3 linked regions of the Cricetulus griseus genome follow. The protein of the gene in region 1 binds, or shares a complex with, the protein of each later gene. Links are inferred from orthologs where the notes say so. Each region holds a gene or a part of one and is shown in the gene's direction. Other genes may lie near its edges.

Evidence for each region.
Region 2: Med25 (region 1) and Med26 share a complex: the UniProt entries of both Homo sapiens proteins name them as parts of the mediator complex. The link is inferred for Cricetulus griseus from reciprocal best matches to the Homo sapiens genes MED25 and MED26.
Region 3: Med25 (region 1) and Med7 share a complex: the UniProt entries of both Homo sapiens proteins name them as parts of the mediator complex. The link is inferred for Cricetulus griseus from reciprocal best matches to the Homo sapiens genes MED25 and MED7.

The regions. Positions count from the first base shown.
Region 1 is NC_048599.1:153,713,810-153,720,249, reverse strand, and holds part of Med25 (mediator of RNA polymerase II transcription subunit 25), read left to right. Parts: exon of another isoform or gene 1-183; intron 184-538; coding exon 539-624; intron 625-693; coding exon 694-751; intron 752-1,034; coding exon 1,035-1,142; intron 1,143-2,611; coding exon 2,612-2,800; intron 2,801-3,094; coding exon 3,095-3,166; intron 3,167-3,267; coding exon 3,268-3,486; intron 3,487-3,621; coding exon 3,622-3,802; intron 3,803-4,219; coding exon of another isoform or gene 4,220-4,317; exon of another isoform or gene 4,318-4,349; intron 4,350-5,478; coding exon 5,479-5,744; 3' UTR 5,745-6,440. UniProt on the Homo sapiens protein: Component of the Mediator complex, a coactivator involved in the regulated transcription of nearly all RNA polymerase II-dependent genes.
Region 2 is NW_023276806.1:247,247,200-247,252,260, reverse strand, and holds the end of Med26 (mediator of RNA polymerase II transcription subunit 26), read left to right. Parts: intron 1-1,388; coding exon 1,389-1,463; intron 1,464-2,014; coding exon 2,015-3,625; 3' UTR 3,626-4,555; downstream 4,556-5,061. UniProt on the Homo sapiens protein: Component of the Mediator complex, a coactivator involved in the regulated transcription of nearly all RNA polymerase II-dependent genes.
Region 3 is NC_048600.1:60,990,711-60,994,841, forward strand, and holds the end of Med7 (mediator of RNA polymerase II transcription subunit 7), read left to right. Parts: intron 1-1,800; exon of another isoform or gene 1,801-1,972; intron 1,973-2,668; 5' UTR 2,669-2,685; coding exon 2,686-3,387; 3' UTR 3,388-3,625; downstream 3,626-4,131. UniProt on the Homo sapiens protein: Component of the Mediator complex, a coactivator involved in the regulated transcription of nearly all RNA polymerase II-dependent genes.

The DNA.
Region 1 (6,440 bases):
TGACCCTGTACAAAGGCAAGAAGGAAAGAACAAGATCATAAATTTTGACAGTGCAAACACAGTTATAAATTTTCATATTCTGGGGTTGGGGAGAAAAAATTATGTTGAGTCAGGCAGTAGTGGTGCACACCTTTATTCTCAGTACTTGGGAGGCAGGGGCAGAGGCAGGTGGATGTCTGTGAGTTCAAGGCCAGCCTGGTCTACAGAACAAGTTCCAGGACAGCAAGTGCTGTTACACGGAGAAATCCTGTTTGGAAAAACCAAGAGAGAGAGAGAGAGAGAGAGAGAGAGAGAGAGAGAGAGAGAGAGAGAGAAATTAAGGCATAGTGGTGCACACCTTTAATTCTAGCACTTGGGAGGCAGGCCCCAGGTCTTATGGCTTCTGGAGGACAGTGATTATAAGATTTTGAGGCCCAGTGTTTGAGGACTCTGGGAGCATGAGTGTGAGGTTGCTGGGAAGGTAGGAGAGACGTGAGGCTGCCGGCGCTGGTGGAGGTTGAGTCAGGAGGCCCTGGCTAATTCACCCTTCCTCTTCCAGAAACCAAAGCCTGCATCTGTGGATGCTAACACCAAGCTGACGAGGTCTCTGCCTTGCCAGGTCTATGTGAACCATGGAGAAAACCTGTAGGTATTTGTCAGGGGTGGGGTAGGTTTAGCCTGGCCCCTCCTGATTCTCCTCTCTCTGTCCCACAGGAAAACAGAGCAGTGGCCCCAGAAACTGATCATGCAGCTCATCCCTCAGCAGCTGCTGGTGAGTCCTGCCAGGCAGGAGCTGCCTGGCCCTTGTCCCCCGTTCCCACATAATCTCCCCTACCTTGTGTTGCCCCGAATGATGCCTGCGTTTTCCCAGACTACCCTACCTTGTGTTGCCCCGAATGATGCCTGCGTTTTCCCAGACTACCCTACCTTGTGTTGCCCCGAATGATGCCTGCGTTTTCCCAGACTACCCTACCTTGTGTTGCCCCGAATGATGCCTGCGTTTTCCCAGACTACCCTACCTTGTGTTGCCCCGAATGATGCCTGCGTTTTCCCAGACTACCCTGGGCCCTCTGTTCCGGAACTCAAGAATGGTCCAGTTTCACTTCACCAACAAGGACCTGGAGTCCCTCAAAGGCCTCTACCGCATCATGGGCAATGGCTTCGTGAGTGGCGGGCACTGACTTCCTTCCCCATCTCTGCCCACAGTCCTGCATCTAGGAGTCGCTGTCTTTCCTTGGGTGTCGTTTGTGGTGCTGCAGTTAGGGCCACATGTCCTAGCATCTGCTGTGTCCCTGTCCCGTGGGCCTGCATTTGTTGATGGTTTGAGATAAGTCTTGCTGTGTAGTAAGACCTCCACCTGGGTGTCCTCCTGCCTCGGGCTCCTGAGGGCTGTTTTGCAGCTATGTGCGGTGCAGTCCAGCCTGGCTTCTCTGGCCCTGTTCTTTCCTGTATCTCCACTTTGTTGCATAGGGCCTGCCCTCATGCCTCATATAACCTTCAGGTCAGCTCACCTTCCTGGGGGCTAGTGGGTTGGAACTTGTGTTTAGGGAAGACCCAAGTGCCTGTGTGTGCATGGGATTAGCGACAGTGACTTCTATGCCCAGAGTTTTCCCCAGGCAGAGATTGTTGATCATCATCCTCTCAGCCCTCTTTACCTCCGCTGACACTGTTGCCTGCTGTACCTCTCTCGTGTCTGTGGGTCTGCTGGGGCTGTTGTCAGGAAGGTCAGCTGGGCCAAGAACCCTCTGTGGTGTGGCTCATCTGCTGTCCTCCTCAGTGAAAACACTGAATTCTGAGGGAATGTTCCAACAAATGGCCTGTTTTTGCTGCAGGCCAGGATACAGAAGGAGAGCTCAGTGACCTCAATGCCTAGGCCTCTCACAGGCTCAAGATGGTTACCTTAGCTTTTGAGTCCCTTTAAACATTTGGAAGAGGCAATGACTTCAGGAAGCGAGAAATGTTCACAACTTCTGACCAGGCCTCCTTTTATCTGGGCCTGGCTGGGTTCCTAGGCTGCACCCCTGTAGGGGAGGACACTCCAGTATCTGGCCTGGGTGGCACTGCCTGTTCTGTGCTGGACTGGGTTAAGGAGAGGGGTGTGTTGATGCACTAGCTGCAAGTCCTGAGAAGTAAACCCAGGTAGCCAAAGCCAGTTAGTTCCCTGAGAGCCCATGGAGACTCTGAATCCCAAAATGGCATCCTTGTGATGTTGCCATTCTCTGGTCCATGCTGGAGGCCCTGGCAGAGATAGAGCCACCTTCAAGGGTCTGACCCTGACTTCCTGCCACCCTCCCCAGTGGAGCCCTGTCCAGTGTGATTTGATGAGATAACCCAGTGCTATATAGTGGGAGACATGAGGTAGAGCCACTCAGTCAGGGTCACCATGGGCTTCTGGTGTGACCTGCTGTCTCCTCGGTGGTCAGCAGGGACTTTGGTCTTGCTGTGCCCTTTGAGTGCCTGTCACTCACAATTTTTTGTTTCCAGGGCAGCTGCTGCGCCAACCTGGCCTCCCTGGCCTTGTACAGTGAGACCTCCCTACCTCTTGCCTATAAGGCTTGTAGAATTTTATAGGCTGAGGTAGGCTAGCCCATGCCTCTCGGGTAGGCTGCTTCTGAAGAGTCTCTGTCCACAGGCGGGCTGCGTGCACTTCCCGCATACAGCCCCATGCGAGGTGCGTGTGCTCATGCTCCTGTACTCATCTAAGAAAAAGATCTTCATGGGCCTCATCCCCTACGACCAGAGTGGCTTTGTCAATGGCATCCGCCAGGTCATCACCAACCACAAGCAGGTCCAGCAGCAGAAGCTGGAGCAGCAGCGAGGGGTGAGTGGTAGTGGCAAGCCAGTGTCCTCTCATAGCTCCCCAGAGCCCAGTCAGCCATAAGCCGCCTGTCTGAGTCCAATGTGCCCCTTGTGTCCTAGCAGAGCAGCTTTAGTCCCTTCTCAGTTTCCACGGCAGTCCCTGATACAGGCCTTCCTTATTGGTCAGGCAGGGTGTGATGCACCTACTAGATGGTATGTCCCCAAAGAAAGGCACCTTCCTCCTACACACCAGGTCCTCCAACAGGTTCAGACAGCCTTCCCTCACCACTGATCTGTCCTCTCTGTCCCCGTGCAGATGGGGGCACAGCAGGCACTTCCAGGCCTGGGCCCCATTCTGGAGGACCAAGCGAGGCCCCCGCAGAACCTAGTGAGGACTTGGGTGGGGACTGGTGGGATTGGGGATGGAGGTTGGGTGGAGCTAGGGCAGTTCCCTACTGCTTGTCCTTGCTCACGCTGTCTGTTCTCCAGCTCCAGCTCCGTGCACCACAGCCCCAGCCTCAGGGTGCTGTGGGGGCCTCTGTGGCTACAGGGCAGCCCCAGCCACAAGGTACTACCCAGGCCCCCACAGGAGCACCCCAGGGTCCTCCAGGAACAGCCCCCGGCCCACCACCTTCTGGACCTATCCTTCGGCCCCAGAACCCTGGGGCCAACCCCCAGTTGCGGAGCCTCCTCCTTAACCCACCACCGGTGAGGCATGGGAATAGAGCAACAGGGAATTGCAGGTTCTTACCCAGTATCTCTGGGAGGAAGGGGTGGGCTGTACCAGCAGGGCCTTTCTGGAGCACAGACTGGGCCCTCTGAGCCATTCTTTGTCTTCCCCAGCCCCAGACTGGGGTACCCCCACCCCAGGCCTCCCTCCACCACCTGCAGCCTCCAGGGGCCCCTGCACTGCTGCCTCCACCACATCAGAGCCTGGGGCAGCCCCAGCTGGGGCCACAACTCCTCCACCCTCCACCTGCCCAGTCTTGGCCCACACAGCTTCCCCAGCGGGCTCCACTGCCAGGTAAGGGTGTTCTAGGGGAGGGTAGAGGTCTAGACTGGGAGTCCTTGCAGCCACTGGCAAGGACCCCATTACCAAAGGGCCTCCCCATAGCTCTAGGGGGCTTAGAGGGCCATTGGGAAGTTTAGCCATGGGAACAATGCCTCAGTGAGTGAGAGCTTTCCATAATCCTTATATGCTGCCCTGGGATGCTGGAAGATACCTTAGGGTCAGTGATGCTGTCGGGGGAAGGGCTCCCAAAGGGTCAAAGGAAAATGTCTGCATCTAATTGGGCTTAGAAGGATCCCTGGCTCTGGTGGTCCCTGGAGCTTCCTAGAAACCTGACTGCCTTGGGTTCCCAGAAGAGGGGATGAGAGGTCCAGGGTCCTCAATGGTCCCAGGGACCACTGGGAGATGCAGTCCCTTCCCACTGCCCCCCAGGTCAGATGCTGCTGAGCGGGGGTCCCCGGGGCCCGGTCCCCCAGCCGGGCCTGCAGCCCAGCGTCATGGAGGACGACATCCTCATGGACCTCATCTGAACCCAACACCCAATAAAGTTCCTTTTAACGATTCCCGGCTCCCGTCACTGACGCCCCTAGGGCTGTCTTTGCTCTCGCCTTGCAGACTCCCCAAGGCCCCGGCTGGGTGATGCTGGGCCACGGGGGGAGTTGGAGGCAGCATGGTGAGGCCTGGTTCTGGGAGACTCAGAGGCAGGTGGGCAGATAGTGTACAGCTCATGTGCACTCAAGGGGTTACAGAGCCCAGAATGCCTCTGACCCAGCCAGGGTTCCGAGGAGCCTGGAAGGAGAAGCAGCAGTTGGGAGCCAGGAGGTACTAAGGTGCAGATAGCCAAAGCCACAGTAAAGGGACAGGCAAGGTCAGGAGGTGGATGCTCCTGGAGCATGAGCATTACAGGGAGGAGCCAGACTGGAATGCTTGAGACTTGTCCTGGGGACGCAGGACCACAGAGATCTCCAGTGGGGCTGATGTCAGAAAGGCTGGTTTGTAGGAGCAGGGCAGGCCAGAGGCAAGGTCAAAGGACTGTTCCGGTGACACATGCCACACCAGGCAGTCAGGATGTCCCCATGGGACAGTGTGCTGTGCTTGAAGCAGTAGCAATTTAGGTTCTAGTTGGAGGTGTGGGGAAGTGAGGAAGCCCCTGTCTTGCAGGGTGTTCTCAGGTTTGTCTGTAGGTGGTCTCCTTGGAGATGTTGTGAGATATTTGTCACACAGGCATATTAACTGTGAGTGTGGTCTGTGCCTGGACCACCACTGCCTGGGTCTGGGACGCTAGTTAATGTGCAGGTCACTCACTATCCCAGAAGAGAGGCTTCAGTCTAGTGGCCCGTGGGCCACCACAGATGAGTTTTGTTTGGCCTTCCCTGTGTTAGCATGTGTCACTTTTTTCCTTCCAGTTAGCTATAAAACTTAAGTGAAATTCACACACACGCACAATTGCTCCTCAACATGTCGGAAACACTGACACCCTGGGTCTACCCTTCTGCCTGGCAGTAGTAGCTGGGTTTGCCCCATCAGTGGGGCTCATGCTCTTGGGTTCGCCACAGTCCCCACCACTCTCTCTTGCTCTTCCACGGTGAGGCCAAAGCCCTGCCTCCGTCACGGGGCTGGCACCGTGGTGGTTCTGTGGTAGCATTCAGAGAAAAGTGAAATCTTTCTTGTACCCATGTCTCCTTCAAAAGTGGCCAAACGAAAGAAAGAAGGAGAGGGCCGCGTGTTTCGAGAAAAATGGGAGCGAGACTATTTCTTTGTGGAAGTGAAGAACATGCCCACGTGCTTAATATGCAAAAAAAACGTGTCAGTGCTGAAAGAGTACAACCTGAAGCGTCACTATGAGTCCCAGCACAGTAAGAGCTACGACCAGTACACAGCACAGCACCGCGACGTGGTCCTGCAGGAGCTGAAAAGGGCCCTCAGAGCCAGCGAGGCTCTGGAGAACCCGGAGTAGGAGCCACAAGTGATGTGGAGAGAACGTCCGTGTCCTGAACAGAGCTGCATCCTCAAGGCTGCCCTGTGAGTCTGACAAGCTTTTGCAGGCTGAAGTACACAGGAGTCAGAGGCCTTATGGGGTCCGGTTGCCTGACCCACAGCTGTGGCCTTTTGATGGCTGTGCAGAAACTCTGACCACATGGTTAGCTTTATTTATTTGTGGTGGTGGTGATCTCCATGCAGCTGAAGAAGTCTGTGAGGTGGCACCAAGCCAGCCCCTCACTTTGAAGTGGCTTGCTTTTGTGCATGCACACATCAGAATTCATAAGCACAACTACAACCCCATCACAGTGATCGGGCCGTCCATCATGAGGGCCATCCCTAACCTCGATCCCAAGTGGCACTGTTTGTCAAGGACCAGGGTCAGGTCCTAGCGTCAATCACCAAGGAATCCAGATGCACCACGCCGCCTTGACTCTGGCATTCCTGTCCTTGAACTGAGCCAATCGTCTGAGACTGGGATGTGCAGGAAATCCAGACTGGCCTGCTTGGTTCATTTCAAAGTGCAGAGCCATGCCCTGGTTCCCTGGAGGTCGGTTAGAAACTTCTGGTTGAGGTTCCCACCCTCTGAACACTGAATCTGTCTCAAGCAGGGATTTTCACAAACAGCTCCTGAATGTATGACTGGCGTGGTCCTGGCAGATAGATGGATGCC
Region 2 (5,061 bases), on another chromosome or scaffold:
CAGATGCTGTCAGTGTGTGGCCCAGGGAGGATTGATGGGGTTAGGACTGTGGCCTGCCAGCTTGGCTGCCAAGAACCTGCGTGCCAGGGCACTGCCACCCTGTGGGATTCCTGAGTCTGCAGGTGGATCACCACCAGGTAGCTTTGTGTGTGTCCCGATAAGTGTCTAAACACACAGAAGCTTTTCATTTCCATAGGTTCCGTTTGTCATTAGTTTTCTTTAACAGTTGGTCCTCTGGACTCCTCAGGAGCCCCATCGTTGCAGATCCTCTCCTGAGCACTTTTTGGAGCTTGATTTTCGCTTGCCATTTAGGTCTGGGGCTCACTGAGGTAATTTTCATGCATGTGTGTGCAGTGTATGTGCACACAGGCAAAAGGAGGCTGACGCCGGGAATCATGGGAATTGTTACTCATTCCTCCTCCTGCTCACTGAGACACCTGGAGCTCACCAACACAGCTACTCTTACTATCTAGTTGGCTCTAGGTACCCTACCTTTCCCTTTCAGAGCTGGAATTACAGATGGGCTGCCCTGCCACCTGGCAGGTACATGGGTTCTGGTCCTTAGCTGACCATCTCCTTAGCCCCTTGAGGAAGCTCCATGTGTGGGGCTTTGCTGTGCTTGCTGCTGTCGGCTTTCTGGAATGCGGTCTCCCTGGGTACACTAAGGCTGTTTGTCCGCTCTTACTCAGGAGGCTCCTCTTCATCTCCTTTCCCCCATTGCTGTGCTGCCTGCTGTTTGCCAGTGTGGCTGTGCTGCTGGCATGTCCAGTCACATCAGCCTTTTGGTCCTACCCTGCCATCTCTGAAATGATAGTCATGGCACCTGCCCTGTGAGCCTGTGGTGATTAAACAAATCAGTGATGGATGGAAGGGCTGGCTCAGAGTGGGATTCCAAACATGAACTTGGGGGATTGTTAGCCTCCCTGTTGACATAGCCGTGAAGCTCAGTGCTAGTGCTGACCTTGCCCGTTCTGCACAGAGCCTCTCAGAGTCTCTGCTTTCACGTTCTTGGGGCTGCATTGCTGTTCAGGTGTGGTGCTCCAGAGACCCTCATTCTGGCCATGTGACATACATCTTAGTCTGTGACATACTGGTTTATTGTCCCCTCTTGCTTTCCTCTGAGGCTTTGTGTGTTTGGTATATATGGTAACTTCTCCAGCCCCTGCTTCAGGGACTTTCCAGTAAAGATGTCAGACCAGGGGCAGGTCTCTTTTCATGACACCCGATAGCAGTGGGTGGCTGAGTGTGTGCATATGGGCAATGGTAAACCCTTGGGAGATGGTGATGGTGGGGGTTTGGTGGTGTCCAGTGCTGGCAACTTGAAAGGCCCTGGGTTGCTAGGCTTTCAGTCGGAGCCCTAAGCTGATAACCTGGTTCTTGTTCTTCAGATCAGGAACATGGTTGCAGTATTGGAAGTGATCTCCAGTCTGGAGAGATACCCCATCACCAAAGAGGCACTAGAGGTAAGAGCTCAACTTTGGGCAGAATGAGAGGTGAGGGTAGCCCCTAGCCACCTTCTACTTGTGGCTTAGGCTTTTGTAGTCCTTCAGGGGACCCAGTGGGCAGTGTGTCCAGGACATTGGTCTTCGCAAGGACTTTCCAAGAGTGAAGGCGTCTACTCTCACAGTTGGGTTCCTTCCCATACCCTGCACACCTCATAGCATTTGGAACACGACCTGTGCTGAGCTTTAGACAATTGGTTAGTGTCCCTGTCCTTTGGAGACCAGGCCTTAGGCTGTGAAATGTGTTCAACCAGGCACCCTGGTGGAGCAGCTGTGTGGCCTTGATGGCACAGACTCCAGGTTCCAGGAACCAGTGGACCTGCTTTTGAGGAAGCCTCTGGGTCCCAAACCTAAGAATTCATGCTGCCACATAGTATTGGACACCTCCAAGATGCATCCCATAAGCTGGCAGTTTGGGGGCTGGGGGAAAGAGGTAAAGCCAGAAAGGGTGAGCTTACTGGCTCAGCTACCTCGTCCTGCATTGTATAAGTGTGTCATTCTCTTGCTTGTAGGAGACACGACTGGGGAAGCTCATCAATGACGTCCGCAAGAAAACCAAGAACGAGGAGCTAGCCAAGAGGGCCAAGAGGCTTCTGCGGAGCTGGCAGAAGCTCATCGAGCCAGTGCACCAGAATGAGGTGGCCCTACGGGCACTGGCGGGAGCTGCCGGCTCTGCCAATGGGGGCGCACACAACTGCCGGTCAGAGGTGGGAGTAGCCAGCACACCCAAGAGCATCCATGACCTGAAGAATCGCAATGACATCCAGAGGCTTCCTGGGGAGCGGCTAGACAGGCTGGGCAGCCGTAAGCGTAGAGGGGATCAGCGTGACCTGGGCCACCCGGGGCCACCCCACAAAGTTCCCAAAGCCACCCCTGACCCCCTAGTCCCCAATGCATCCCCTCTCCCCACTAATGGGATCAGTGGGAGCCCAGAGAGCTTACCTAGCCCCCTGGATGGTAGTGGGCACTTGGGCCCTGATAGCAGCCGCCTGGAACCCAGCGACAATGAGAAGCACAGTACCAAGATCCCCGTGAACGCCGTGCGGCCCCGCCCCAGCTCCCCTGGCCTGGGCAAGCCCCCCGTGCCCTGCCTGCAGACAAAGGCTGCACAGCTGGACAGAGCAGATGAGCCGCCAGGCCCTCCCCATCCCAGGGGGACCTCTCGCTGCTCCTTCAGCCCCCGGAACTCACGGCATGAAGGCTCCTTTGCCCGGCAGCGGAGCTCATACATAGCGAAGGGCTCTGTGTCCAGCCCCTCCCCACGCCCCCAGCCACTGGACACCACACAGGTGCCATCCCCACTCCCGCTAGCCCAGCCGTCCACACCCCCTGTGCGGCGGATGGAGCTGCTGTCTAGTGCTGAGAGCCCTGTGCACTGGCCAGAGCAGCCGGAGGGTCACCCACGGCTAACAGGGCCAGCCTGCAGGGTCGGGTTGTCGCCAGATTCCTCCAAGGTGGACAGCGATGCTGCCTCTTCAGGTGGCTCAGACAGCAAAAAGAAAAAGAGGTACCGACCTCGAGACTACACGGTGAACTTGGACGGGCAGGTGGCTGAGGCAGGCGTGAAGCCTGTGCGGTTAAAAGAGCGGAAGCTCACCTTTGACCCCATGACAAGACAGATCAAACCTCTGACCCAGAAAGAACCCGTGCGGGCCGACAGCCCCGTACCCACAGAGCAGCCACCTAGGACAGAGCAGGACCAGCAGGAGGCCAAGGCCAGCCTCCAGAGTCCTTTTGAGCAGACGAACTGGAAGGAGCTGTCACGCAATGAGATCATCCAGTCCTACCTGAGCCGCCAGAGCAGCTTGCTGTCCTCTTCTGGCGCGCAGACCCCAGGCGCGCACCACTTTATGGCCGAGTATCTGAAGCAGGAGGAGAGCAGTCGGCGAGGGGCCCGGCAGCCCCATGTGCTGCTGCCGCTGCCCACGCCCACTGACCTCCCGGGGCTCACTCGGGAGATCACACAGGACGATCTGGACAGAATCCAGGCCCAGAAGTGGCCAGGGGTGAACGGGTGTGAGGACACACAGGGTAATTGGTATGACTGGACGCAATGCATATCGCTCGACCCGCATGGCGATGATGGGCGCTTGAACATTCTGCCTTATGTCTGCTTGGACTGAGCACCTGGCCTGGCCATCAAGTGCATTCCCACCTTGCAGGGGGTAGGCTGGCCAGCCAGGAGGGCGAGCATGAGGCTCACCCTCCACCCTCCTTTTGTGAAATGCTGCTACCAGTTTACTAACGATTGCAAAGGAAGGGCTGCTCAGAGGGCAGATGGCAGAGGGAGTCCAGAACTCTATAGCAAGCCAGCTATATAAAGCGTTAGGTCCCCCACCCCAGAAGAGGTGCAGAGCCCCTCTAGCACCGAAGGTGGGGACCTCAGTGGCAGGCAGGCACAGGAAACCTGCGGGAGAGGTTACCTTAACAGCAACAGATGCACATCTCATCTCTGAATCTCCTACTCTTTGGCTCTGGCCAGTCTCTGGCCTCGGCCAAGCCAGTGTTTTCTTTTCCCTCGTGTTATGCGCTAGAAGCTTCTCTGCTATGGTGAACCCTGGCATTGGGCGGGTGAGCCAGCTTCACCCACTTGCACAGGTGTCCACCCATTTGTATATGGTTTCAGTTCAACCCCTGTTCTTAAAGAAATGCTGCAAAAACTTCAGTTTTCTTGTTTATTTCATCCTCTTTTCCACCTGACCACCAGCCAAATGACTTTTCCTTTCTATCTCTTCCTGTCTACATCTCTAGGAAATGCCATCTTTCTAGAGCCCTCAACCTCACAAAGTTCCCGAGGGTGCTACTGGCGTGAGTTGCCCTGCTGGGCGAGGAGAGCCGTCTGTTAGCTGGAAACACTCATAACCATTCCTTTAGATTCGTTTGCCTTATGGTTGTCATAAACGCAATTTGCAAAAACAAGGAGCCTTAGTGAATGTACAGTACCTAGACTTCTGCGTCCTCGCAGAAGGGAGCAACTTTGCTATTTGGTCCAGTAAGTGGATACCTTGTGATATAAATGTGGAAATAAAAAAAAAAAACATTTGCACAAACCAGTTTTGGAATCATTTCTCATTTGAACTTGTACTTGGCCTTTCCTGGATTCCTCCATGGGGAAGTCCCTGGAGCCCACAGCCTTGGTGGCATCCTATTAGCTTGCTTCTGTGGCAGCAGGCAGGATCTCTCTACCTATCTTTCATTCTTTTGGGGCCAACCATATCACCTTGGTCACCCACCCAGGGATGCCCCCTCCTTCAGGCCCTGTAGCTGATGACACCTTCCTTGACCACCAATAACTTTCTGACATTACATGGCCCAGAGGTGCAGACCAATATGTTATCTAGCCCCAGCCCTGGGCTAGCATCTGCAGGCAGGCCTAAGGTTGCCCCCCCACACACACACCTGACAGTTACCTGCCAGGGTTTCTTCTCCGACAGAAAGTAACGTGTTGTTTTCTCTCCTCCCCAAAATCGGTAATTTAAGTTTCCAGTTTTGTTTTTCACTCTTGAGATAGGTCACCTTACCTACAGCTGCCTATACAGCAGCTGTATGGGGTCAAGTC
Region 3 (4,131 bases), on another chromosome or scaffold:
TTGTTTCTAAAATCGAATTGGGAATAGTTGTGTCGTTGTGAAGAAGAAATGACGGTGTAAATAGCCGGTGCCAGTCACTTACTGGAAGCCTTTGGGAAACTGCGGGTTTAGTGTGGGCGTGGGGAAGGGAAGCACAGAACCTCAATTTCAAAAGCCCTCAGTGGGTGAAATTAGGCTGTGGTTGCAGGAGAACATTCGTGTTTTAGGTATATACTGAAGTACTTAGGGGAAAAGGTGTCAGGGTGGGTGGGTGGGTGGGTGAGGTGCCCAAACAGTTGGAAAGCTGAAGACTTTGAAGTGGCTGCCCTCAGATTTAACATATTCCAAGGAACTGGTACTGAACCGGTATGTTACTTGCCCCAGTTGATGTTGGTAGATGGATGGTGCGTCTTGAAACTCAGATCAAGTGTGAAAAAGCACTCAGGAGTCTCCTCACTGGATGTACACTTATCAATGGATAATACACTATATAATTCAAATTGGAATAGGAGAGGTTATTTTGACCATGTGTGTTGCAGTTTTTTTTATTATTTGGAAATATATAAAATGCTAATGTGTTAATAAGACCGTACTCTTTGGTTTTTCGGGACAGGGTTTCTCTGTGTAGCTTTGGAGCCTATCCTGGCACTCGCTCTGGAGACCAGGCTGGCCTTGAACTCACAGAGATCCGCCTGCCTTTGCCTCCCGAGTGCTGGGATTAAAGGCGTCTGCCACCAACGCCCGGCCCTCTCAAGATGGGGCTTCCTTCACAAAGCCTGGATAATAATAGAAGTTTGAAATTTAACAATGCTTTTTTTGTTGTTTTTGTCAAAATGTTTAGAGTCTTTAAGTGTTTGGTTTTGGAAACCAGTACATAATAGAAAGCAAAAGTGATTGTGATATGAGATTGATAAACACCATAGGTAGTTTCACTGTGGGAAAGAGTAGTAAAAAGGCACGTGATATTTGTGTGTATAAGTGTTCTTTTTTCCAGTGTGGGTTCCAACATAGGCCTATCCACCCCCCCAAAAAAAACCCAAAAAACAAAAAAACAAAAACAAAAATCAGACATGACAAATAATATATCATGTGCCATACAAAATCATCCCAGACATGGACCCTTTTCTCTTAGTTTTTAGAATATGTATTTTGTTCTTTGAGAATTTTATACACAATGTGTTTTGATCATGCCCTCTCCTTCCCCTCTAATACCATGCAGACCATCACCATATCTCACTCCCAACTTCATATACTTTAAAAATAGTTTTTAAAGGTATTTTTAGCACAGGCTGACTCAAAAATCAATGTGTAGCCCAAACTGGCCTTGAACTCATAGCTGTCTTGGCTTCTATAGTGTGAACCACCACATCTATGACAGTTGAGGTCCTTTTTCAAAATAACAACAAAAAAAAATGTTTAAAAAGAACAGTAAGTAAAGTTATCTGCCAAACCTTTAGTGGACTTGACTGGCTGCTTCCCACTTCCTATGCTTCCATTTGTCAGCTTACATAGAACACATGAGTCCTTAACCCTAGCGTCCCTCTTTCCTCACCAAGCAGAACAGGTGTCCTTACTTCATAGTCACATGAAGTCTGGCAGACAAAAGTGTCCTTTAGCAGGTGACAGGGACTTTAAGGGATTCAAATAATTGTAAGATTTCCAAGTGACACTGCTTCATGTTCTCAGAATTTCCTTCATAGAGTCTGCATACCTCGACTTGGGTGTATATTTAGATGCTAGAGATTGTTTCATGGCTCTCATCACAGTTATCTTCATTGCACGAAGCCATAGCTTTGCTTTATTTTTCTTTTCCTTTGCCAGGGTCACCTGTTCCTTTAGGGTGAAATTAGCACACCTTGTGTCTTGACTGGCCAACAAGTTCTCAATTTTCAAGGCATACTTACCAGCAGGAAGCTTAAAGATAATATGGTCTGAATTCACAGTGTACTTCTGAACATTGAAGTTGATGTTGTCCAGGCTGCCCTGGTCATTGGTTGGTAATTTTTTTCCTCAGCAGTGAAGCTTCATGATACAGTGACAGATGTCATAAGAGCCTCTTCCTCCCACCACACCCCTTTATTTTCAGGATGCTTTGTATGGGTTTATCTTTGAGAAATTAACAAGTGCTAGTGTCTTTTGTGCTCAGAAAGGTTTTTTGTTTGTTTTTATTTTTTTCAATGCCATTACTGTAATTATGGGTACCTGCCTTCTGCTGGAATGGTGTGCCTTTCTAGATGTCTGCTGCACAGACCCTCTTCCCCCAGATGGGCAGGGAGGGGGTGGCAACAGAAGATCCTAGGCACAAAGCAAAAACAAGACACCCTGCACATCCATCCGTAGGCTGTTATCTTTCTTTTGCCTCAGCAGACACCCAGCTGATGTGTGGCTGCCCTAGCTTCCAATCCCCTCAGATTTTATTTATATATGAAAAAGAGTAACTTGTTTATTTAACTGCTCTGGAAAGCACCAAGGAGATAAAGGAAAACAATAGGGGTGTTAACAACATAATCTTTAATTAGAAAATAATTGATGGCCATTCCCTTTTTGTAAATGTTAGTTTTAAATCTGAGATCATCTTGTCTTGGACCCTGTCCTGTCAGAAGAAGGAAAAACATACTCTGAAGTCACTGATGGTGGTTGGGGGTAGTGTTGTCTGGTTCTGCTCTGAATCTGTGTTCTGTTTCTTTAGGTTCTTGATTGTCGACAATGGGTGAACCACAGCAAGTGAGTGCACTCCCACCACCTCCAATGCAGTACATCAAGGAATATACAGATGAAAATATTCAGGAAGGCTTAGCTCCCAAGCCTCCCCCTCCAATTAAAGACAGTTACATGATGTTCGGCAACCAGTTCCAATGTGATGATCTTATCATTCGCCCTTTGGAAAGTCAGGGCATTGAACGGCTTCATCCTATGCAATTTGATCACAAGAAAGAACTGAGAAAACTCAATATGTCTATACTGATTAATTTCTTGGACCTTTTAGATATCTTAATAAGGAGCCCTGGGAGTATAAAACGAGAAGAGAAGCTAGAAGATCTTAAGCTGCTTTTCGTACATGTGCATCATCTTATAAATGAGTATCGACCCCACCAAGCAAGAGAGACCTTGAGAGTAATGATGGAGGTCCAGAAACGGCAACGTCTTGAAACAGCTGAGAGGTTTCAGAAACACCTGGAACGAGTAATTGAAATGATCCAAAATTGCCTTGCTTCTTTGCCAGATGATTTACCCCATTCAGAAGCAGGGATGAGAGTTAAAACTGAGCCAATGGATACTGATGATAACAGCAATTGTACTGGACAAAATGAACAACAAAGAGAAAATTCAGGTCACAGGAGGGACCAGATTATAGAGAAAGATGCTGCCTTATGTGTCCTAGTTGATGAAATGAATGAAAGACCATGAGTATTTTTTCTTTTAGTGAATAGCATCATATATTAGTTTATTTTCTCTTGGACAGTCTTAAGAGGTATAACTAAAAATATAAAGGGACTTTTCTCAATTGAAATGCTGTAGGTGATAATTTAACAGTAAGGATAGGCAAGGAAGTATATTTGAGTAATGATCATAAAAAAGCAGAATGTTTGCTATTGAATGGGATAGTCCTATTTTTGGAAGTGGAATAAAAATTTTAAGAAATATTGAACTGTCATTCTTACGGGGGAGTTATTTCCTTTAAGACTAATAAAGGGCATCAAACTGTACATGTGAAATTACAAAATGTTTAGATTTATTCCAAAACAATACAGGAACTATTTTCCTGATGACTGTTCTACAAACTCAGTATCACAGCCGCTTCTTCCTTATCTTCCATAAAATATCTGCTAGGGGCTTCCCCTTCCCCCCAGTCAGGTAATCAGTCTTCGGTCACTAAGTTTATGTTCATTTTAGACATTAAAATATCTTATGTGCTAACTATATTTCCTGTGTTAGCTGTCTATGTGAGTGTGAGTGCATTTCCTGCAGAGGCTAAAAGGGTGTTGGCTTTTTTTGGAGTGAAGGTGGTTGAAAGCCATTTCTGTGGATGCTGAGAACCAAACTGGTACTATACAAAGAGCAGAATGTGAGCCACTGAGTCATCTCTCTAGCCTCTGCATTATTCCTTTAAAGCCGACGTCTGGTGTTAAATCTGGAAGTTTGCAATGAAAA